Linked DNA regions of Oreochromis niloticus. The protein of the gene in region 3 purifies or fractionates together with the protein of the main gene of each other region. This does not show direct contact. Links are inferred from orthologs where the notes say so. Each region holds a gene or a part of one and is shown on either strand. Other genes may lie near its edges.

What was found.
Region 1: the proteins of ubxn6 (region 3) and aspscr1 purify together in Homo sapiens (affinity purification with mass spectrometry; 4 studies listed by BioGRID and IntAct, counting the BioPlex papers as one, with this or other methods). This does not show direct contact. The link is inferred for Oreochromis niloticus from reciprocal best matches to the Homo sapiens genes UBXN6 and ASPSCR1.
Region 2: the proteins of ubxn6 (region 3) and nploc4 purify together in Homo sapiens (affinity purification with western blotting; 3 studies listed by BioGRID and IntAct, with this or other methods). This does not show direct contact. The link is inferred for Oreochromis niloticus from reciprocal best matches to the Homo sapiens genes UBXN6 and NPLOC4.

What each region holds. Positions count from the first base shown.
Region 1 is NC_031971.2:32,711,340-32,719,356, reverse strand, and holds the start of aspscr1 (tether containing UBX domain for GLUT4), read left to right. Parts: upstream 1-4,595; 5' UTR 4,596-4,643; coding exon 4,644-4,733; intron 4,734-4,956; coding exon 4,957-5,012; intron 5,013-5,463; coding exon 5,464-5,578; intron 5,579-8,017. Other genes in the region: inactive palmitoleoyl-protein carboxylesterase notum1b, read right to left, coding at 614-975. UniProt on the Homo sapiens protein: Tethering protein that sequesters GLUT4-containing vesicles in the cytoplasm in the absence of insulin. Modulates the amount of GLUT4 that is available at the cell surface. Enhances VCP methylation catalyzed by VCPKMT.
Region 2 is NC_031973.2:3,598,103-3,606,131, forward strand, and holds the start of nploc4 (nuclear protein localization protein 4 homolog), read right to left. Parts: upstream 3,253-8,029; 5' UTR 3,057-3,252; coding exon 3,042-3,056; intron 2,416-3,041; coding exon 2,335-2,415; intron 1-2,334. Other genes in the region: oocyte zinc finger protein XlCOF6.1, read left to right, coding at 5,299-5,410, 6,336-7,507. UniProt on the Homo sapiens protein: The ternary complex containing UFD1, VCP and NPLOC4 binds ubiquitinated proteins and is necessary for the export of misfolded proteins from the ER to the cytoplasm, where they are degraded by the proteasome.
Region 3 is NC_031986.2:39,718,026-39,726,045, reverse strand, and holds the start of ubxn6 (UBX domain-containing protein 6), read right to left. Parts: upstream 3,397-8,020; 5' UTR 3,263-3,396; coding exon 3,180-3,262; intron 2,713-3,179; coding exon 2,555-2,712; intron 1,563-2,554; coding exon 1,498-1,562; intron 900-1,497; coding exon 771-899; intron 672-770; coding exon 574-671; intron 457-573; coding exon 381-456; intron 262-380; coding exon 177-261; intron 58-176; coding exon 1-57. Other genes in the region: uap1 (UDP-N-acetylhexosamine pyrophosphorylase), read left to right, coding at 6,561-6,843, 7,954-8,020. UniProt on the Homo sapiens protein: May negatively regulate the ATPase activity of VCP, an ATP-driven segregase that associates with different cofactors to control a wide variety of cellular processes.

The DNA.
Region 1 (8,017 bases), on a different chromosome or scaffold from region 3:
GGAAACTCACCATGCTGCTGGCAGCACGCACACTCTCACACTTGATGCGGGTGGTATATCGAAAGATTCATCTCATTCACAGCGATTTAATTCATATTTTGCCCACAATATATTCTAATTTACACCTGGAACAGAGTTTAAAAACTTTGACAATGAGTGGAATTAACTGGTGATTCGCACAGGTGGGAAACTGATTATTTTATTTCGTCCAGTGTGGAAAACCCTACATTTGAAATGCCATAAATCTTTGAACTATCATTAGTTATAATCTTTGTTGTCATTACTCTTAATTTTGCTTTATCGTAAAGTCGCCAGAACAAGGATAAATGCCCCTCTCTCGTCCTCGCTCGCGCCCTCCCTCTCGTGTACGCGCTAATTTGCAGCGTGCATGGCGCTCTCTCTGATCTGATCCTTTGATCCATTTTGGTCACATCCGGAGTGACACGGGAATGGAGCACACGGAACTAAACTAGTAGTAAAACGCAGATCGGATGGTGGGTGTATCTACCCCTCCGTGTCTCAGATTCTTACCAATTAATGACAAAACTGTGGTTTTAAATCACGCCTGAAGGTCATTAAGAAACTATGAAGAATCTGCAGGCCATTCACTTACCCTGCAGGTGACCCGTCGTTGCAAGTCACAGACACGTTCTTCAAAAAGTGCAGCTTCATGTCCTGATCCAGCTTTTGCGCAGAGCACGGATAGAGTGACTGCGCTAAGTTCTTTATCTGCACTACAAAGTTGTCCATGTTGCCCTCCACAGCTGTGAAGTCTAACGGGAAGCTTTCTGCTCCTTCCACCCGCTCCCTGTACGGCGGGGGCGTCTGCTGCTGCTGCACCCTCCGTGTTTGCGCCCGACCGCCGCGCACTCTCCTCGCCTCCACCGGTGCGCTCAGGTGGATGAAGAGCAGCAGCAAGCAGGAGCGCACCGCGGACAGTCCAAATGAGTTTCTCGCCACACCACGGCTCTGCATTTCTAATTATTTCTGGAGAACGTTCCTCGCGTGTGTGCGTGGGCTCTGAAGAAAACACAGCATATCCTATGAGTGGGTAGATCGACAGGAAGTTCTTCGAAAGCGCACGGAGTCTTCAAACAAACGATCTCCTATACCAGCAGTACTGGGTAAAAACAGCTTATGGGTCTCCATGGTGCCCTGAGAGATGGGTATCTGGATTCAAACTCATGCAAAATGCGCGTGCAGTTCCAGTTCATTTCCTTAAATCGCGCGCAGTTCGTCCAGTAAACGGGTTCTTCCGTGCGTAAAAATATCTGAAGTTTCGTCCAGCTCAGTCTCACCAGTGACCTGTTGCCTTTTGGTTCAGGTCTTATAAGCTGCGGATGAAGCGGGAATTTATTTGAGGTCCTCCCCCTCCTCCCCCCGTCCCCCCTGCCTGCCCCCGTGCTTCTCACTCCCGCGGGCCAATCGTTATTATCGTTGGCGGATGCTCTTTGCGGGGCGTGGGGCTCACACCAAGAGCGCGCGTATGCCTGGCACGCCCCCTCAGTCGGTTCACTCATACCCCCGGCCCCTTTGATGTTGTGTCATCATATGACCGCGCTGCCTTTGAAGTGTCTTTGATTGAACATGGTGTGTGAGTAAAAAACGCAGTTGGACACGCCGTTCCGCTGCAGAAGGTCACGCCACTGATGCACATGTTTTGCGGCTTTTTATGCGCTTCAGAATTAAACTGCATTTTCTTTGTGTTTGTTGCTCAAGATAGATAATCAGATAATCTTTTGGGCTATTTCACAACAGAAGATAAGGTCGCTGGAAGTTTTTAAATCATGAGTGTGGTATGTGTAGACACAGCGATAGGGCGAACACACTAAGTCACACTAAAGCATAAATCAACACTTATTACTGACACGTAAAATATTTAAGCTATGCTTGCGGGATGTGAGTTTAAGATTATTGTGTGACAGTTATTAACTCTGTTGCAACTGTTGACTGTATTGAAGACCTTTGACTCATCCTTATTGTAAATGTGAGCCAGCGCTTCATCTGCTCCACTTTTTACTTTTCCTTTACAACCATTTTTTCCAAAACTGACTTCTTATTGTGTCGTTAAACCTCACAGATACATGAACAGAATCCCAAAGCAGTTTGAGAACTGGCACTGGCTGGCCTGGTTGGAGAACTCATCAGTGGTGTCAATGTCATTTTATATGTGACCAATTTAATTTCAAGTGTGCTGGGTCAATAAAAACATTGTATGATTCCCCATTAAGACAATCTTTGTCAGTATGAAGTGGTTTGTGTGTTCTTCTGTCGGAGATCTTGTTTTCCAGCCACTGGAAAAATAGAATAGAATAATTCTGCACATCTAGGTTCAAGAGAAAAGAGATTCTTAATCCCTGAAAGCTTCTTTTTCTAAGAAGATGGTGAAACTTGGATAAAATGAATCATTCGTACAGCCACTGCAATCATGTGATTCATTTTAACCACTTAAAACAGAGGTTAACTCCTGGTGAAGTGAAAGGTTCTCTGAGATTTTCACATCTTGTTAAGCCATCCAGGAGGCCAGACTGGACCTATGGGTGGGACACATGTAGCCCATGAGCCATATGTTTAACACCAGAAAGCTATTTTTGCCCATATTGTTTCTTTTACATCTGCTCATCTTTAAACGTCCCCATTCATTCACCAGATCCACCGTCCTCTGATGTCTAACATTCACACACTGCCTGTAATTTGATTTCGATCTTTGATGGGGTTTTTTATGATGAAAGGAACACTTAAAAAAGGTCTCTCAGCATGTAAAACCCACTGCAGATGCCTTTATAAGTTTGCGCTCTATCCAGACAGTTTTGAAGTTTCAGTCCTGCTGAGCGAGGAAGGAAACTGATTGTTTGTTTGTTTGTTCAGATGGTGGCAATTTCCCACTAGGACTGAGAAGTGCATTCATTTCTGTCTGTCTGTCTCTCTTTCCCAGGTGGACTTTGTCTTTAAATGTTGCTCTTGAAGCAGTCAGTCAATCAGTCAGTTGTTCGGCCTCTTAAGCTCTGGCCTCACACCTCTCCATCTGTTGGCACCACTTGTCATGTTGTTTGTCTCGTCTTATTCCAGCTTTGATCCAATTTGATCCATGCTGAGAAAAAACAGCCTTGATTGTTGTTGCTCAAACTGCATACATACAGTACATTAGGTTTTCCATATGGAGAGCAGATTGACTGTGTGTGACTGTGTTGTGGTCAGTTTACAGACAGGATCAATTTCCTTCTCTCATGAGGCCAGATTGTGTTTTCTTATTATGCTTTTAAGGTCAAGGGAAGAGTAATGATCTTCATATTGTTTTTAGATGCACACTGTACAATACAAGCTGCGGAGGGTTTTTTTTTTCACAGAATGAATAGATAGATTTTTTTTTACATTGACTCTGATGTTGTTAATCCACTCAAATTATTTTTTCTAACACACAAACGGATGTGTAGAAAAGACCTTTCCAAACTTAAGTCTCCCCTTCCACCTAGGTTAATGTAGTGACTGTAAATTCCATGTAATTCACATCATGTTTATAATTCATAAATAATTCAGTTAGCTGGATTTAGACAGACTAGTCAATAACCCTAACCCCTTTGGTTTATTCTGACAAAAGGGAAAGTAAGAGTTGGCATTAATATGATTAATGAGGTCTTATTTCTATGTAAGTGCTCCAGTAAGTTGTTAAGTAAGCCAGTATACACGGTACATAACATGGGATCCAATAATAAAAAAATACAAATTACAATTGTATGCATCTGTTAAATCAGAAATTTAACACTAGATTACACTAGTTTCAAGTAGACAAAAATTATTTCCCCCTGGGAATACAAAATATAGACCTTATAATATCACACTGTCCCAATGGAGCAGTTCAATCTCTAAAAGCAGAGTTGGAGGCAAATCCTTCAGGTATCAGGTTAGCTCCCAGTTTAGGTTCAGGAAACAGACACCCTCCCTACTTTTAGATTCGGCTTCAAACTTTCCTTTTTGATAAAGCTTAGCGTTTGGGATGGATCAGATGAGTCTAAAGCATCTTAGTTATTCTTTTATAGGTTCAGGCTGCTGGGACACTTCCCAAAAATGAGTAGACCATTTCTTCTCTAGTCCACTCTTTTCACTCCTGATGCATTTACATGGCACTATCGCATGGCATTAAATTGTGTCTACCCTCTCCCATAGCATGTGTTGTGTTTCTGTCTCTCTGTGCTCTTTTTGAGACAATGGTTGTTTGAATTGGCACCGTATGAATAAACCCAAACCGAACTGAATTTGGTGTTATAATATTTCACTGTAACGTTTTTTAAAATAAAAGACAATAAACTACTAGCCAGTCTAAACTACAGTAAGGCTTAGTATATGAATAGATAGTACAAGTTGTGTTCTTAGTATTTTATTTCATGTTGTAGCACTTTAAGAGACAAGCAGATGTCTCTTAAGTGCTATTTGACTATTGCAGTGGGACGCTAAAACATTGTGGGGGTTATTTCTTCTTAATTTTTTAAATGTTTGTATAATTAACATTATTTTGTTTGGATAATAACGCTCATAAAGGTGAGACGAAGAAAATCTTAAAAGTTGAACGAACTGCACCTTTAAGTGATGCCGCGACAGAGTCAATAAAGCTTATTCAAACAAACATTGTGACGTCAGGACACGCAATGGCTGCTAGTGGCACAGCTGTAACGGTTCTCACTCCCAATGGGAGAAGGCAAACAGTTAAAGTGGCTCCAAACACGCCGTTACTGCAGGTGAACTGTTATAGAGGAGCGTTTCATCTTTACTTAGGTGGACGGCTTATTGAATTCTGCGCTTTGGTTATAGAACCGGACTAAATTCCTTCCCTCCGAGTTAGCTTGCTGGGCTAACAGTTGTTAGCCAGTGACTGATCAGTTTGTGTTTTCGTGCGGATGAAATCAGATTATTTGGGAGATTTTGTGGCATAACTCGTGTTGTAATATTTTCCGCCTTCAGGTGCTGGAGGAAGTCTGCAAGAAGCACGGATTTAACCCAGAAGATCACGGTTTGAAGTGAGCAAATGAACGTAGCTGTATATCAGTTTTTGTCCCTTCAGATTAAAAGCCTTTCACCTGGATTACATCCAAATACACTTTAATACATAAACAATCGCACTGGACAGTAGCGGAATAGTAATATGTGAAATATCCGTTTATTTATATAGTTAAAGAAGTTAAGCAAGTTAAATGTTGTAAGCGATTTTCACATCTTGTACAACTCTGTTTTGGTTTCAGATCGTGTTTACTTATATTTTAAAAATCGGTGTCACTGCAGGAAAAAAAGAAACAAGACAAATTATGTGTCAAAAAATGAAATCAAATTGAAATTTGATAACTGTTTGTAACTGTTTGTACTGTCCTCAGGCTCATACATCATTCTTCACAGCTGTCCAGCTACTCCACATGAAACATTTAGTCTGATTTAATTGCTCTCTTTCTTCTCCACTGTGAAAATTTTTGGCAGGTTTCAGAGGACTATTGTTGACCTGACGCGGCCATGGAGGTTTGCAAACCTGCCCAACAACGCCAAACTGGAAATGGTGACGAGTACGAGGAAACAAGTTATAGCTGACAGCCAGGTCAGTTCAAACAAAGTGCAACTTGGGGCTCAACGTTTAGTCAGATTTTAATCTCCGTTATGATTTTGCTCTCAAATTGTTGAGAAAACAAAATAATCTTGACCATCTTCTTTGCACAGCTTTCATTTAGAGTGGTGTGTTTTTACTCTCCCTAAAAGTTCAGCTTTTAGTTTAACCCCAACCAGGGTGTCTATAATTCAGCTTTTGGCTACAAAGATCTAATCAAGGAAGTAAATCGTTGAAGGTTTCTTATGGTGAACATGTGAAAGAATATCACTTAATTGGAGCTACCCCAAAGAAGAGTTTGTGTCTACTCCTGACCTCAAACTAGGAATCTTTCGTAGTTGAAGAAAATGCCCAGAAAAAGACACTTTTTAAACTCCAGTATCTACGCAGTGTCTCTTAATCTAGTGAATAATGTGCATATTTTAGAATATTGACCAAATTTATCATGATTACGACTTTTCCTATAAGCAAGCAGCCTTGGTGCATCTATGTATATGTGGGTGTTAGAGAGAGTCAGAAAGGAAGAAAAGTCTCCAAAACCAGTGTTTGGAGACTTTCCTAGCTACGCCATTTTTTATTTTATGTTTTTTCAGATTCATGGTGTGCATGAATCAGAAAAAATGTGGAAACAATTCTTTTTACCTCAAGTCTGATTGCAACACAAAACATGCTCTTAATAAAAAATTATTAAACAAGAGCTCATTTCCAGGATCAGCATTGCCAGAGTCCTTTTTATAGAAGTACCACAACTCGGTATCCTTTTTGAAATGCCTCCAGTCATTTATGTGGGCAGTTATTTGAAACACCAGAGTGAAAAAATATCTGCTTAACTTATTTTAAGTGACTTTGTCTCAGTGAAACTTTGCCAGCCTTTTTAGCCTTGAGTGGCCAAGGTAAACATGTTCAGAACATACTTCTTTACCAGGGTTTTTCCTGTATATGGTAAATGGTAAATGGCCTGTATTTATATAGCGCTTTTTCTGGTCCCTAAGGACCCCAAAGCGCTTTACATATCCAGTCATTCACCCATTCACGCACACATTCACACACAGAAGTGTTTGTGCCCAGCAAAGAGATTTTAGCCTTCCATTAGAGAAAGCTCACCAGGACTTTGATTTTTGACATGTTTTATGTAAGTGGGGTTTAATTAAGTTAAGCTTGAATGGCGCGTTTGTTTTTTAAATAACAGGCGAATGCGTAGACTTCTGTTAAGAAAGGTCACATAGGCTATTTGCCTGGCGTGCATGTTGTTCAATAAATAAAATTAATTTGAGTCCCCTTAGGGCTATTTGTCCCACTCATGATCATGTTTGAATAGCCTTAAGTAGCTTCATGTGTGGGTCAGTCAGCCCCGTGTGTGGGTTTCTTTATTGTCCGTACCTGGAAATGCCTGAATTCTCTGTCACTGCTCTCTCTCTGATTCCTATCCAACAAAACACTTTGTTGTAGCTGAGCTGTAGTTTCCTATGACATCATGGCATCATAATCCATGCTGTAAAATTCACGGCTGGGTTTGATCTGCTGTTTTTGTTCATTTGATGGATGGTTGACTGTTGATACCTGGCAGATTTTATACAGACGCACACACGCAGGCACCTCTGGGGCAGACTGGTTTGTGGGAGTGTTTCGTGTTTGACCGTTGACAGCCAAAGCCCTCGTTTCATCTCTCCCGGTGTGCTGACATGCAGCGTGCTTTCTGTGCCGAACAACACCGTTGCAGAGTAAACAACTCGCAGAGTGACTCAGAGAAAGAGCAACAGAGACTTGCACTCATGTCTGATGTTACTTATTTTCAGGCTGAGGTAGGCCCACATGTGCAGCTTAATCATCTTTGATTATCAAAGAATTTTCTTCCTGGTAAATGTATCAAGACTGATGAGCCAAGAACTTACAAATGACCACCGTGGGGGATTTTCAAAATCAATTCCTTTTCGGCATTTAAGGAGATGTTTGTGAGTCCAACAGCGTGAAGTGCTTGTACTGTAGATTTTATTACTTTTAGCTTCTGTCAAAAGAAAAAAAAATGTAAATAATTTAAAGAAAATCTTACTGTGATAATTATGTGTTTAAAGGGGCCTCATTGTGCTTATTTCCTCCTCCTTAGTTTTATTCTTGGACTGTTAGAGTAGCTATGCATGATGGACAGTCCAAAATAATCCTTATTTATCTTAACCTGGGGCTGGATGCAGGCTCTGTTCATCCTCCATCCAAAACGAGCTGTTATAGGTGTTTAAAGCCAACTTTCTTCTGATTGGCTGCTGCCTGGAAACACAAGATCTAAACTGCAGTTAGCTGTGACTGCTGTGCTTGAGGATGTCCACTTTCACTGACATCATGCAGATCCTAATGTAGGAAAAACCTGGTGAAACTGAGCATTTAGAGCAGTTTGAATCCTGTGCTCTGGGCTCACATCCATTACTTATATATATGCTA
Region 2 (8,029 bases), on a different chromosome or scaffold from region 3:
CTGCTGCAGTGCTCTGTCTGCTGTTACATGCTTCTATTTTAGGCTTTTCATAGTCAGTGATTAAAATGCAAATGTAATTATTTCCCATCCTCATGTGTAAAATTGAAGCATAACAGAGAAAATTTCCCCAGAAACAGAGGGGAAAGTGGCTCTTAAGTACTTTGCTAAGTGAGGCTTGTATAACTTGGGAGGAATACCATTTGTCAGCTTTACTATAGGTGTTACGGTGCCTTATTCTTACTGTCTCTTATTCTTACTTACTTACATTGTATTTTACCATGTTTGTTGTCAATTTGCTAAAACTTTCTATCTTTGTTTTGCTGATACTTCTCACCTGAACACCTGATATTTTACAAATCAAGCAGATCACTTCATTTTTTATTGTCATTTCACCGGCTTCTGTCCTTTTTGGTAAAGAAGGTCTTTAGATTTAAATTTTTAACTTACAGTTCATGTTTGCAGGTTTTCAAATTCACATCTCTGAAGCCTGTTTGTGTCAGCCAAACTTCTTGAAACACCAAAGGGCGTTCACAGTTCTGCAGAGTTGGACTGACATCAGATTAGGAGTTGTCCAAATCTGATGTGAGTCCAGCTCAGCAGTGATTCAGCACTGGTGCAAATGTTGGGTTCAACATTACCAGACAGCTGTAAATGGGTGCAAGAATTTCCTGTATTTTATGCAGTAGATTTGGGGAAGTGGATTAAATTATTAACAGGCCTTCAGTAAAATTCAAGTCCTATAAAAAATCAGATTACACACTTTTATCTGTGCCTTCTGTGATATGAAGCAATGCCTGGACTCTAAAACATCTAACACACTCCCTGAACACATATTTCCTTGTGCAGTCCACAAAGGACCGACCTGCTCTGTTACTTCCTACACAGCTTCATGTATGTACAGGCACAAGAAGAGGAAAAAAAACAAAACAAAGCCCACAACAACACATAACACTCCTGTACTGATTTAAAGATAAAACATTTTCTAATCAGTTTTCTTTGTGAAAAAAACATAAGAGGCCTGCACAGGTTTTCAGTGTACTGTGGAAATAAAGTACAGAAGGCTTGGATCCAGTTCTGGTGTGGAGGAAAGCAGAGAGTGGGAAATTCTTTGCTTTTTTGCCAGCACACGACTGATGTGACACAACAGATAAATATCAGCTACTGATGTGGATAAATGCCATCTTACTTGCTGATATGCCAATATCAGCTAATGACTATATTTGGATCATATATCAGTACATCCTTATGATTGACAGTATTAACATGACTAACATATCATCACCCTTTGGTTTAAAAAGACCTGTTTTGAAGCATCAAGAGCAACAATCCTGCTGTTTTGGCCACAAGTAACTGCATGTGATGGGTCTAATAACCAATGAGAGAGCAGATAATCTCCGCTTTTGAAACAGGGTATCACCAAAAGGTCAAAACAAAAAGTTGTTTTTTCCCAGATTTCAATTGGATCAAAGTCTTTTAGGGGTTTAAGATAGCCTTTCATTCTTCCAGCCAGAAAACTGTGACCATTTTATTTTATGCCTATTATTCTTGCTTAATTTTACAATGCATAGCAATTTAAAACAATGTGGCACCACTGTACCCTGAAGGCAGCAAACATGGGTAATCTTTGTGAACTGGAGATGAAGTGAGGGAGGGCGTGCAGATTAGGATGGTACTCCGAATTTTGTGACTTTTCAACTGTATGAGGACACGGTGTTACTACTTCCATAAAATAAATAATGACGATGAGCTGACAAAGCCTTGAGGTGAAGGAGTGCTGATGCTTGGCAGTTTATGGAAACACAAGCTACAGAAAATACCTGTTTCCCCTCCTTTACATCTGAAAAAACTGTTTTGAGCTCACTCTCCCTCATCTTCTCCCATGCCTTCGGAAACCCAAGGAGGTCATAAGCAGAACAGAATATGATGGCCCAGGCTTAGATGTTATTGTGTTTGTAACTGCTGGACAACTATTCACAGATTACTGCCATTATCTTATGCAAACATCAAATAAAGCATACTATCTACAGTTGAATTAAAACTATAATGTGTTTAGAAGTCTTTAACTAAACTGTTTTCTTAGCTATTCGGTGAGTTTGTCAGCAGGGATTCTTATAAAAAGGCAGAAGGGGAGGCTTAGGGAAGAGGACAGCAGCAGCCATGACTAATTAAAATCCTGCATTGTTCAGAAGTCAGCCACCACCTTCATTTAAAGGCTGAACTGACCCCCTTATACTGGAGTGCCAGGCCAAACTGATAAATCCTGAGGCTGGAAACCAGCCCTTAGAGTAGAGAAGAAAACAAGATGCTTGAGTGCTGTTATATTTAACACATTACCTTCTTTAAAAAAGCAGCAGCTGTCTCCCTCTTTGTAGAAGGAATTTTTTTCATCCCTTCTGGGGACTGCACCCTGATGATCTAAAGGAGAGACAGAAATAAACCCACAATTCAGTCGTTACAGTACAAGCCCGAATCCATTGTAGCATTTCAAACACCTGTCAGTCAAAACCAGGACGCAGCCCCCCCCCCTTTCCGCCCCCCTCCGGTGTCAGTGTCGGGGTATTATGACAACCGTGACAGTGCAGAAAGAAAAGTCGGGTTAACGTCAGCTCATCAACCTCTAGTTTTTAGCTGCAACATGACGATGTTGACATTGAACTACTCTGGAAAGCTGTCAGTGTGTACTGGCTCATTCACAGACTAACTAAATATCACTTTCGTGGTGAATGTGCAACATCACAGCTCCCATCGTTACCGAGCTATTCGTGTTACTGTCATGCTAAAGAGATGAAAGAATATGCCAGTCATTTTAAGCCGGCCGTTATTGTCGCTCTCCCGTTAGCCAACAATGACTCTTTTCATTCGGATGTCGTCAGCTAGCCTACTAGCTATCATATTAGCCGGCTAGCTAAACAGGCCCTGGTCACTCTTAGCTCATGTTAGCTGGCTAATGCTAGCCAAGCTAATTCTGCTGCCTCATCATTCAGGAGTCCAGCTAACAGGCTAGCTAACGTTAGCCGGAGCCCATCCTCCGCTGTACTTACAATATTATCGGCCATGCTGCTCGGGTAGGTGCGCCCGGTAGATTTGGCTTTGTTAGTGGACAGACAGGGTCAAAACAAATACCCCGTAGCGCTGCTGTGTATGTATATGTGTGTGTGTGTGTGTATGTCAGCGAAACTCCATCCCGCAACTCAAACACCGGGTGTTGCACACATTAGCGCCCCCATCGATCCCACAGCGGAGCGACCACGGTCGAAACAAAGAAACTAAGCTAGAAACAAGGGTTCCACTTTTATCATTCTTTCTTTTTCTCCCGTCAGTTACTGCCTCCCACCTGAGCCCCCCCGAGTCAGATCCTTTTTAGTATTAAATATGCTGAAAGATGGGATACAAAATATTCCTTTCACACTGAACATTTTCAGAGATGTTCAGAGGCTCACTACAGCATTGTTGAGCCCTCCTTGTAAGTGCACAACATTATCTTAATTTTATTCTGCTTTCTGAATTCTTAACAATAACTAACATTTTTCATAAAAAAATCACTATCATAAAATATGAGGCATTGTTTTAACATGTGGGATGGATAAAACTACCGTCTGGTCTATGATGATGAAAAGTAGCCCAAACCCTAAACTCTATAACACTATGGTATGAAAATATGGAATTTCTGGCTTTTAAAACTTTTGTACAGTGTTTAAAGGGACAGGAATGTAATTAAGCATTTAAAGGAGATGTGATGGACTGAGTAGTCAGTAATCAGTCAATTTATATTCTGCTTAGGTTTTGCTGTTTTATGTCTCAAACAGTTACTTATAGTTATTTTTTTATTTGTAGGTTCAAAGGAGGGTGATTTTATGTTACTTACTGTACTTTCTGCAGCGTTTTGTACATTTTAAACCATCATTGTGGTCACTCTTACACTTCCTCACACTAGCTGTATTTGGGTATAATAATTTATGATACCAAATCTCTCTCATTCATGTATGTAAAACAGCTGTATTTTAAATGTGATACACTTATCTAGATATGAAAATGTTTTAAACTTTCCAGACCATCACTACAGAAGAAACAGCATTTATTCAAATAAATTAATTTTTAAAAAATCAATGTGTTTTTAATTAATTTGATGATTCCTGGCACTGAGCCTCGTATTTGACATGTATTGTCTATAATCTAAATCCAAAAAAGTTCCCATTATAACAATACCCGTAGTTTTACACGCTGTTCATTTATTATTGTTTTGGCTTGTTTTAAGTACCTACCCCCTGTTTAAATGTGGATGTCTTCATTATGAAGTTAAAGTGACACATATAGGTCTTAGATGTTCCCTCAACATCAAGGGAACATCAACAAACCACAGTACCTGCGTGACATTATGTACTTTGCATATGCAGAATATTTGTGAGGCCACAGAAAAGACAGAAACAGCTTAGAATGAGAGAACAGGTGTTATCACTAAATCCCTACAAGACTGATGAGGAACTCATTTATCTGAGGAACCTTGTGGCTTATGCTCTGTCAGCAGACCTCATAGCTCAGCCACGTGTAGAGGAACAATTTGTTACACTTATGAATGTCACACTGTTGTTATAAATTCTGCTTGTTATGTTTTTGATTCTGGAATGTGCTTTATGGATGAAGATTGTGAGTTGTAACAAAACGATCAAAATTAATCTAATGTGTGCAATAATTTGGTTTCATTGATGCTGTTGTGGCAGCCTTTAGGATTATAAATTATGAGACACCATTCCCTTGGGGGCGGTTGCTTCACAGCATCTGGCATAAAAATCAGAGAAATCAAACATGCGGAGCGAGCAGCTGTGGGCGAGCAGCCGAAAGTAGCTGAACTTCATTCTTAATAAAAGCAGGATGTTCATCGGCTCATCTCCCCAACACAAAGAGAAATGTGAATACACATAATGAAATCAATCTTTCAAGTCTAGAAGCTCTTTTACAGTGTTAATTCAGAATAAAGAGCTTTTCCTTTTCTCTTTTAATGAAAAGTGTTGCCGGACTTTTCAAAAAATAATCTAATTAAGATTATGAAAAACTGGATTTTTTTTTTTAAAGTGAATATATCAGTTTTTATTTGTATTTATTTATTTTGACAAGACAACTTTTGGTATTTTCCTCTGTTGTACAGTTTCAGTTCCTTGTTGCAGGATAACACAAAAACTGACTGAGCTACAATTACGCACGGTAACCACTGGGGCATTGCTCAGTACCAACAAACATGCCAAACTTCACCCTGAGAAACGGCCTAATTTGTACTAAAGAAGAGCAGAAAAAGCGGTCGGCATGAACGAAGCGGATGATCTTCGACAGCACAGCGATCAAAATCCTGAAGAAAAGCCGGAGATGCAACTGCTCGGAGCCCTAAAGCTGCAGGACGAAATAAACCGAAGCGCAGGTGAGAGAAATCACGGATGTTTGATTTTATGGAGCAAACTGCTGGCGTGATGCTAACCTGTTGTAGGGGTGGCTGAGATTTCCACAGCAACAAGTCTTACTGTCCTCTGTTAATCTGACTCGGTTCACAAATGTTCCAAAACGGAAACTGCAGCGCAGCACCCGGACGGTTTACGGCGCGCACACAGCAGGGTGATCTCAGTTCAACCTCACCGAACAAACAGCGTTTCCACCTTTAAGATGAAATGGCTGAATAAGCTGCTCCGTAACTCAAATGTAAAATATAAAAACTATAAATCAAGCACCAACATTCGCTTTATGGATTTGTGCCAGTATTTACAGGTGTGTGTGTGTGTGTGTGTGTGTACTGTATGAGTGTACCAACGCTGATATTGGTATTGGGTCAATAAAAGTGTGATAGCCTTGATACTTTGTTTCTATCTTATATGTTCAGTATAGCTCAAACATGCACTAAGAGGTGCAAATCTTTCAATTTTATTTATAGCCTATAGCAGATTTAAACAACACTAGCTGAACCAAAGTGCTTTAGCGACAGGCACATCTTGATTATTTTGGAGAAAAAAAAGCTGTGTTTTATTATGTTAACCAATGGTACTATCCAACACACTGCACTCCCCTAAATAAGCTGCATTATGTGTTACAAGTATCAGTATTGATATTAATATCGGCAATACTGACCCTGTATTTACTCGTTCTCGGAGCCATACCAAAATCTTTAGTATTGCACTACCACAATTACGCTGCACACTTTATGTGGCTGCTGAGCTGAAATGTTTGCCTTGATGACTATTTTTTCCCTCTTTCTTCAGCAGTTAAACAGAGAATACAGGGCTGTGTACATATATGTACACAGAATAGCTCTGAATGGAGAGCACAAATGTGCTTACTGTGTTTTATTCGTGCAGATGTCCAGCAGCTGATTAAAGAAGAGATGCCTCATGAATGGAGTCCCAGTGTGGAGCAGAAGGTCCCAGAGCACCACCGCATAAAGGAGGAACAGGAAAAACTCTGGGACAGTCAGGAGGGAAAGGCATTTATTTCTGTAAAAAGCGAAGATGAAGAAGAAAAACCTCAATTCTTAGAGCTTCACCAAAGCAAAACTAACAACAATAGCGAGGCAGAGCCTCCACCCAGCAGCTCAGATAAACAGATGAAAACAGAAACTGATGAAGACGACTGTGGAGGACCACAGCCTGCCAAGAACCCAGATTCAGACATTCATTCACCTCTTACAAAGGCTTCTGAGTCTTTTGAGAGTGAAGTCAGTACTGATGATGATAATGATGAAGATGAAGACTGGCAGACAACTTTATCAGATTCTGGAACTGAAACTGATGGTACTGACAATAGCTGGAAGCACACCAGGGCACCTGATTGTAAAAATCTAGTTAGCTGTTCTGAGTGTGGGAAACAGTTTAAGCAAAAGCAATCTCTTAACAGCCACATGACAATTCACACAGGAGAGAAACCATTTGGTTGTGATGAATGCAGTAAAAGATTTCGTAATCGGAGTGGTCTGACAGCTCATGTGAAAGTTCACACGGGAGTTAAACCGTTTAGTTGCAGTCTTTGTGGTAAAAAGTTCTACCAACAGGCAATTCTGAACGCACACAAGATAGTTCACACTAAAGAACAGCGATTTGGTTGCAGCACTTGTGGTAAAAGATTCAAACGTCAAGGTGATCTGACCGTGCACATGAGCGCGCACGCAGAAGTGAAACCATTTGGCTGTGGTCAGTGTGGCGTGAGATTCACACGACAGGGAAGTCTGCTGAGGCACACTGTGCTCCACACGGGAGAGAAACCATTTCATTGTGATATTTGTGATAAAAAATTTTACCGAAGGGCACACCTTATGAGACATGCACCCGCTTGCAGGAATGCTCACGCTGTTGTGTGCGACAAAACAAAGAAACCGTTTGCTTGTGATGAATGTGGGAAACGTTATAAGAGAAACACACACCTTAGGAGACACATGGTTGTCCACACAGGAGAAAAACCTTTTTCCTGTAGTGCCTGTCGTAAAACATTTTCACGACAGGAAAATCTGAAGAAGCACATGAAAGGCCACATATAACAAAAACTGCACGAAGACTAACTGTGTGGTTTGTGTTGGTAAGCGACACGCAGGAAAACAAACGATCAGTTTTTCCTGATTTGGAGAAAGAAATATGTTTTTGTAAAAGCTTTTTATAATGTTTAAAGGAGAAATGTGAGATATTTTTCTACCTTTCTATTAAAAAAATACCAGCTTTGTTTTGTCATATCTAAATAAGATTGTATTTTAATATTTTAATACTATAATACTTTCCAATGCCCTGGGTCAGACCAGAGGTTGTAATGGCAGAAATTAATTATTTGGATAGCTGTGCTTAAGGTGAGATCGGAACTATCAGTAATGTATTGATTTGTTGATTTGTTGACACAGATTCCAGTCATGGGATCCAGAATCCAGACAAGTTTACAGATTTTATGTAACGTGTTTTTGTTTTTTTCTGGATTTTTGGTCGATATTCTGTTTCTCTCCATTAAAATGAATATTGCCATAAAACTTTTGCATGGAACAATCAATGAGCTCATCACTGCTTCTGATGTTTCT
Region 3 (8,020 bases):
TCAGCTCCAGGGCATCGGGGCTCTGCTCTGGCAACACCAGGAACTCCTCTTCCTCCTCTGATCTCCATGAAAGGTGGGCACGCGTTAAAAAGATGTAAAGACTGAATGATGCATAAATGAAAATCACTGGCAGGTGAGCAGACACATACTGCTCATAAATATCACTATTCATTTACCTTGGCCCTCTATGGGAAGCATCACACTTGTAAAGCCCAGAGCCTGCAGGAACTCCCTGCTGCCCTCCACAGACTTTACTTTCTCCTGAAATAACACAAGGAATCTTATAAGACATGCAAAATTATCTTGTTTTCTTAGAGAGATCCCATGAAGTGTGCTATAAATAATTAGTCTTTATCCAGTAGGCGAGGAACGTTACACACCTGAAACACTTTGTTGTTGAGTTTAATTTTCCTGTATTTCTCTTCTGTGGGGTTCTTGCATATATTTTCAACATATCTGGAAACAAAACAATGACAACAAAAAAACCTTTGATGTCTAGAACAGATATTCAAAATCTGTGACAACAGCATAAAACATTTACATATGTAATTAACATAACCATCAGCGTCTTACTTGCTTATGATGTCCACCGCAGCCTTCACTTTCTCTCTGTCTTTGTTAAATGTGTGCATCATCATAACCGACGCCTCGACTTCATCTTCCTCAAACCGCTGCAGTCAAAAATGGCATGTTTATCAAAAGCACCAACGAGATTAGCATTCAGTCTGACTGCACACACGTTATAACTGAACCAACATCCTCAGACATACCATTAAAATGGCCTCTTTAATGTGTACTTCCCTCTCGCTCTTGGTTAATGTGGCTCCAGTTAGTGGACAGATGAAATAGACACCTGATACTGAGAGAAGGGTGGGATCTTTCACTGGCACTTTGGAGCCCTGGGAGGAAAATGTCATTCAGTGTTGTTAGATTCAGTGATGAAATTTTCATCCACACCAACAGGCCACCGCTATTACTCTGAATTTAATACAGCTCACATGAATAGCTGGCTCCTTTTCTCATATTCTCAATTAGGCCTCACTACCACTGACAAGCATAAAGGGTTTTTTATGCATATAAAAAAAAATTGGTGCCCATAAAAAAAAGAAAGTTCTGGCTTTTCAACTAAAGAAAACCACCAGGATTGTGATAAAAACATTTTAGTACTGAACAGGTTTAAGGTAAATAAGGGAAGACTAAAACAAAAGCCCACTGTCTGGCTGGAGAAAGTCACCTACTTTCCAATATTATGAAACTGACATTGAGATGAACAGCTGTCTGCACCTATGCTGCCCTTTTTGACACTGGACACTGTATGATAGGCTGTGTATAAACAGGAATATTCACTTTAATCAGCCGTGAAAACAGCTTATCAGGAATACTGTCTTCTTCAAAGTGAAAGAAAAAATGGAAATATTTTATGAAGTTAAGCACAGTCGATGTGAACCAAAATTAGCATGAAAATTGTGTCACAATTCTGGTTTATGCAACACTTACCTCTGCTGCAGCTGCCTTTTCTTTTTCAGCAAGTGCAGCTGCCTCGGCCTCGAGTTCTCTTTTTACTGCAAGCACGTGTAGAAAACAACCGTCATAACCAGAATATATTTGCTTCATCAGTGTAAAACAGTATCTAATCATATCTACTTTCCGTGGACTTCACAGGTTTAGCATCTTAACATAAACATAAAGATTATGTACTTGACACATTTTTTCCCATGAATACAAAAACAATGATTTTTAAAAATAAATACTTCTTTGATTCAGGGACGTTTTGCTACCTCAAGTGGAAGAATTTAAATATCTGAGAAGGAAGCAAGAGACTGACAGACTTCTGCAGTGATGCAGGGTGAAGAGAGAGCTGATCAGTGGTCACAAGTTCTGGGTAATGACTAAAAGAATGACACTGTGGATGCACACCTTGGACAGTAGTTTTCTCCGAAGGGTAGCTGGCCTCTCCCTTAGAGACAGGGTGAGGAGTTGATTTGTGAGGGACTCAGAGTAGAGCTGCTCCAAACAACTGAGGTTGTTCGGGGATCTGACTAGTACGCCTCCTAGGTGAGGTGTTCTGGGCATGTCCTACTGGGAGAAGGCCCCAGGTAACACGCAGGACATGCTGAAAAGATTGTATCTCTCAGCTGACCTGGGAACACCTGTGTTCCCCCTAAATGAGCTGGAGGAAGTGGCTGGGGGGAGAGTCTGGGCTTCTCTGCTTAGGCTGCTGCCCTTACTACCCAGCCTCAGTTAAACAGCAGAAAATGAATGGATGGGTGACTTCTTTGATGATGTGGTTTTTCAGAGGTAATAAATGTTTCTGGTGTCTGTTCTTTCATAGATGTACTGGATATATTACAGTAGCAGATAATAAATTTAGAAGATATGACTTTTTTTAACTAGATCAACTGTAATAATCTGTAGAGTGCTTCAGAGTCTAAAACATGTTTAAATACCCACAACTGAATTATCCTAATACCCACAACTGAAACAAGGAGGCTGACGTTCATCTGTGTTTGAACTGAGACACCGCCTGGTGTAATAACAGGGCTGCATGTCTCACCCTGGGTCCTAATGGCGTCCTGGGAGGTGTGAACCTTCGGCTTCTGATGCTGTTCAATCCTGGCCAAGGCTGCAGCTCCAGCCCTCTGGGCTCCTTCACTGGGGGCATGCCGATCGTGCTTGCTACTGGATCTACCCTGCACCACCTCAGGCTTGGCACTGTAGGGTTATTAGGAGAGAAACAGCACTATAAGAGGAGACGTGTTGTGGCTTCACAGTAGGAAGAAGACAGTGCTAAGCTAAGTAGCAACGACAACAGTACAAATACGTCAGAATCACAGCAGCTCTGCTTCCTGTTGAGAAGCAGGTTTGCTTAGTCCTTTATCTAAACAAGCTTGTGCAGGGATTAACTGTTAGTCAGGTTACCCTGAAATTATACAGTCGCCTCCCGCCGTGCTCAAGATTATATAACAGTTAGCCGTTTGACGCACAACCGTGAGAAAAACACACACAAATTAGCACTGTTGTGGTTAGCTTCAATACATGGGGAGACGGAAAAGCGGTACTCATTACTGACCAACTGTCAGCTATGAGATAAGCCCGTTTAGCCGATGTTAAATAGCTATCTGTACGGCTAGCTTTGCTTAGCGCTGTAGCAGCTGAGAAAAGAAAAGTTTGTTATTTGCCTGGTGTCTTCCGTTAGTTTCTTCCCGGGTCCCGCGGATTTAAATTTGATGTCTTTCTTAATGTCATCGAAAAACTTCTTCATTTTCTGTAGCCGCACAAAAATCTGACCACCAGGGAAAAACAAACAGATGGGCAGCACCCAGCCTGGTTTTAGCGAGGAAGAGGAGGACCACAACAAAATTGTTTCAAATGAGAACAAACTGCTTCCGCCTCATCAGGAGAGACGGTCGCCCCCTCGTGGTTGAACTCAGAAGTGAAAGTCCAACCATTCCAGATCAGTGGTTCGTGTTTTACAAGGCAACTTTTTTATAATTGACCTTTTTTTTTTCTTTTGTTTGTTTACATGTACTTCCATGTTCTCAGAAATTTGTGCATATTACCCTAGTATTGACTGGCTCAAAGGTCAGCACAGAAATTGGTTTGTGTTGATTATCGTTTTAAAATTAAGTGTTTTAATCTTACAATTAGATTTAGAACTAGTCTATTAACAGACTATTGTGGCTATTTTTTCAGGTCAATGAACTGAACTGAAATGAGTATACAGTATCAGCTGGGTGCTGCTGATAATCATCCAGTCTGACACCTGGCATTATCAGAGCAGCCCCCTCTAACTCTTTAGGTGTCTGAGGATTCTGGATTTGGGAGCCTGACAGGATCCTATTTGGAGCTGCTGTGTTGTCAGCCATGGACTCTGTCACCAAACAACAGTCGGGTTTTGTGCCAACGTTTCAGCAGCTGGATCATACAGCTCTCAAGGCTGCTGCTGAGAGCTGTATGAAATAAGCTATTCTTATTTCTGTTAATGATAAGAGACAATAATGATTTGGGGTCAGCAGGGCTGCTGCCATCTCATTTCTGTAGCTATCTTTTGTGTGTGTGTGTGTGTGTGTGTGTGTGTGTGTGTGTGTGTGTAGGGGGGGGGGTTCAATGTAAGTTTTTTTTAGGACGTGCATGAAATAATTAAAGGGTAATACATGCTTTCTCTTCAGATAAACACAATTCATATGCTAATTGTTAGAAAATGAAGATAAACACACACACACACAAGTGGAGATATGTACATTAGCTGGTTCATTGAAGCTGACTGCTCTGTCTCTACCTGTCTGATGGTTTACCTTTGATTACATTCATAAAGCTGTTAAAGACTATCAAAGACTGTTAAAAACAAGTAGAAATATTTTGCATTTTACATGATTTGAATACAATATTTATAGTGAAAAATCATGACAAGTAGTATGACATAAAGCGTGCATGATTCAAAACATGTCAGCAAATGCAGATATATCAGAAAAAGAAGTGCATTTTCATCTCTTTATTAAAGAATTAAAAGAAACTGTCAACATATCTCTTTGGGCTCAGTAGGCGAAGCCATAAAATTTATATAAATAAAATTTACAAAAATACAGTTAGTCGTTCATTTTGCTTCACATTTTCCAAAGCTGTCCAGAGGTAATAAGAGTCTTTGCTGGTGTGGTGCAAAAAAACCGATTAGCTATATTTAAAATGCTGTACATGACTTGTTGCAATATAATCTGACAAGAAAATTTCAGACATGTTTCTCAAACATGATTTCAAGACAAAATAAAAGCTGTGATCAGTTTTTGGCAAGGGGACTTGTATATATCCTTCATTTATCCTGGTAAAAAGGGAAATTGACGTCAAAAATGTATTTTTCAAGAAAGATGTGCCCAAGAGGGCAGCAGAAATGGCAAGAAATGGTTATCTCAAGATATTTTAAGTGGCCAAAATAGAGTGCTGTGATTATAAAATAGGTAAAATCAAGAAAGGTTCTTGCAAAACAGGCCATGTCTTTATTTTATATATAACCTTTTCAGAAATCCTATTGACTACAGTCTATTTAACAATATAAGCAAATATATTACATAGATAGAAAACAGTTTTTGGCACAACACCTGACAGATTCTGGCTCCCGTGCCTTTTTTCCCCCACACTCCTAGCATAGAGTGATTAAATTTACAGGTGGCACTTGAACGCATCTCTGACTTGGCTACACATACACACGCGCACACTGATGCCACGTCAAATGTGACGTAGCAGGAGGTGTATTCCGGGAGGGAGGCGTATAGTGACCAGTGCGAGCGAGTAGTCATCGATTGGCATTAATGATCTTACACCGGAGAGGAGTCTTTGTGAGAGGTAAGAGTTAAATATTTGATTTACTTCTATCTGCTATGTGTACAGCGAGCCGAGCGGTTTCCCGCTCCTCAGTCGGGCGGATATTTGCTAACATGTGCCCGGCTGTAGCTTGACTGATGCGCAGACCGCGGCTAACTATCATATACAGTGACTGAAAATGTGGTTCACTAAATCTACGCGCTTCTTAGCAACAGTCTGTATTATTACACTGTGCTAACACTGGATTTATCTGTGCTCCGAGTCAACACAGCAGTCCCTGCTACCTCTTTACAGGCTCAACGTCGCGGTCATGCTGGAGACGTGAAGTTTAAAAGTTGTATGAACACTTTAACTATAAGTGATATATGAATATTGTGTATTACAGCTGTAGATAGTTCAGGGTGTGTGCCTGTGGTGTTAGTCGTCAGCATCCCATTGGAAAGCTCACTTACAGAGGAGGTTTCTTTGGTGTAAACCCTCTTAGAAAACATCGCGGGTTCATAATATCGCGTTGTGACACAGCTATTATTTTACTGTTGTAATTATCAATCATAATAAGCAAACATATTGGGTATAAAAGAGTCAGTATTCACACTGTGGTATAACATGAAACTGTCCTCGACCTTATCCTTTAGTGTTGTGATGACTTCCTGTCAAATGTGGGTGTGGAGTCAAACAAATAGGATAAGCATTCCAGCAGTGCTTGTTTTACCAACACTACAACTAGCACAGGGCTATAAGATACTCTTATCATGTTTCACTTTAGGCACATTGACTATGTCATCAGTTTTTTTTTTTAATCCTAAATTTGTTTTTATATACACATACAGTTTCTTGGGAGCTCAAAATGAGCTTTTAGTGGTAACTGTGCCAATAAATATGACTGGTCCACATGAATTTTTTGGAAAGAGTCTGTGTTACCTTATCTAACAGATTATTTCTGCAATTTTTTGTCAATTTTACTTCAAAAAATGTATTTAAGGGTGAATAAAACCTCACTGTTTAAAAAAAGCTACAAGTATTTTTAATAAAGTCCTTGCGGAAGGCCAGATCTATATGTGGGGAAAAACCCTGCAAATGTTTGGATATTGTAGTGTGACCTTTCTCTTATCATCTCTTTTTTTATATTTACATAAAGGCCACCGGCTTATACAAAAACAACACGAGACCTGGGGCATTTTTTGCAGTTCTTTTTAAATAACATAATCTTTTTTTCCCACAGTTAATTAAAAGCACAGGTGATCATGGACCCAAACATCAGCGCACTCAGGCAGAAGCTGGCTGACGCCGGCCAGTCTCACCTCCTGCAGTTCTGGAACGAGCTGAGCCCTGAAGAACAGGCCGAGTTGACCCAAGAACTGGAGGGTATGGACTTTCAGGAGATCAACGGATTCTTCAAGAATGCCATGCAGACATCCAACAGCAGCAAACAAGGGAAGATGGACTGCCGCATGGAGCCGGTGCCCAGGGAGGTGCTGGGAAGTGTGACGAGAGACAGGGAGAGCGTCAAAGACTGGGAGTTGACAGGTGAAGTATATTCTCACCTATTTACTGCTTTTGACCTTTAAACTGTACTTACTCGGTATGCTGAGTGCTTTAAGGAAACAGAAAGCATTAGAATTGGGAGTATTTAGTTTTAATGAGAATATGTAAGCTATTATCACTTGTTAAACAAGATTCTCCTAGTTACTGCAAGCACATTTAACACAATGAAATCTTAACAGTGATGACCTGCAGGTAAGAGAGGAAAGCTTAACCGGTATCAGACTGGGAAGCTTAAGTGGATTAAAACATCACATGGGTAACCCAGCTGGATGAATAGTTGTTCTCATGGCAATATTTTTAAGTGTCCACATCCAGATGTTAGCTCGCAGAAAAACAGCCCATTAGATCAAAACTTTTGCAAAAGCTTATTACAAAGTTCTAGTCATGCTGCGTCAGAAGCTCCATGTTTATCCATTGTGCGTTTCTGTGCAAGGGTTGACATTTGAGTAAGTTGCTGGCATTATTCATTATGTTTTGCGCAATCCCTCATGCTTCATTCTTCCCGGGGCTGTGTGACGATCTCAGTGGGCAGCAGAAACATCTGGTGTTGATTTGTGCTTGACGTAACTGGAGTTCCCTCTTGACCCTCAGTCATGAGCTCATTGTGATCTGTTGGGACCAAATCTCTGTTGCTGGGTGTGGGGCATGTGTCAAAGTTTATGGATTAACCCACTACATAAAACTTGCTTCCTGGCACCAACCAGTAGGAAGCGAGTTTCATATCGTGTCACGTTGCTGCAGTTTATGTAAGACAAACTGGAATCATTATAAACTATTGGTACATTGAACCATAGTAAAATCTTGAGTGGGGTTGTAAGATTTTCGCTCATATAATGTGTCACGTCCACAAGTACTCCAGAACCAGTCATAAAATGTTGCTAAACTGCTTGGATTAATGTTATCAGAACTGTTTTGTTAAGTTTATTATTATTCATCTACTAACCAGGCAATAAGAGGTCTGCAGAGATTAGATACTGTGCACTGTGTACCATCATATCAGTGTATAACACTAAATGCATGGCCCTGTCTTAAATAAACTACAGGACACATTTCTGCTACTATTTATGACCGTTGTGCTGTGTTGCCCTTTAGGTCTTCAGTGCATCTCTAAGAATAAAGTGGCAGTCTTACTGCTGGCAGGAGGCCAGGGAACCAGGCT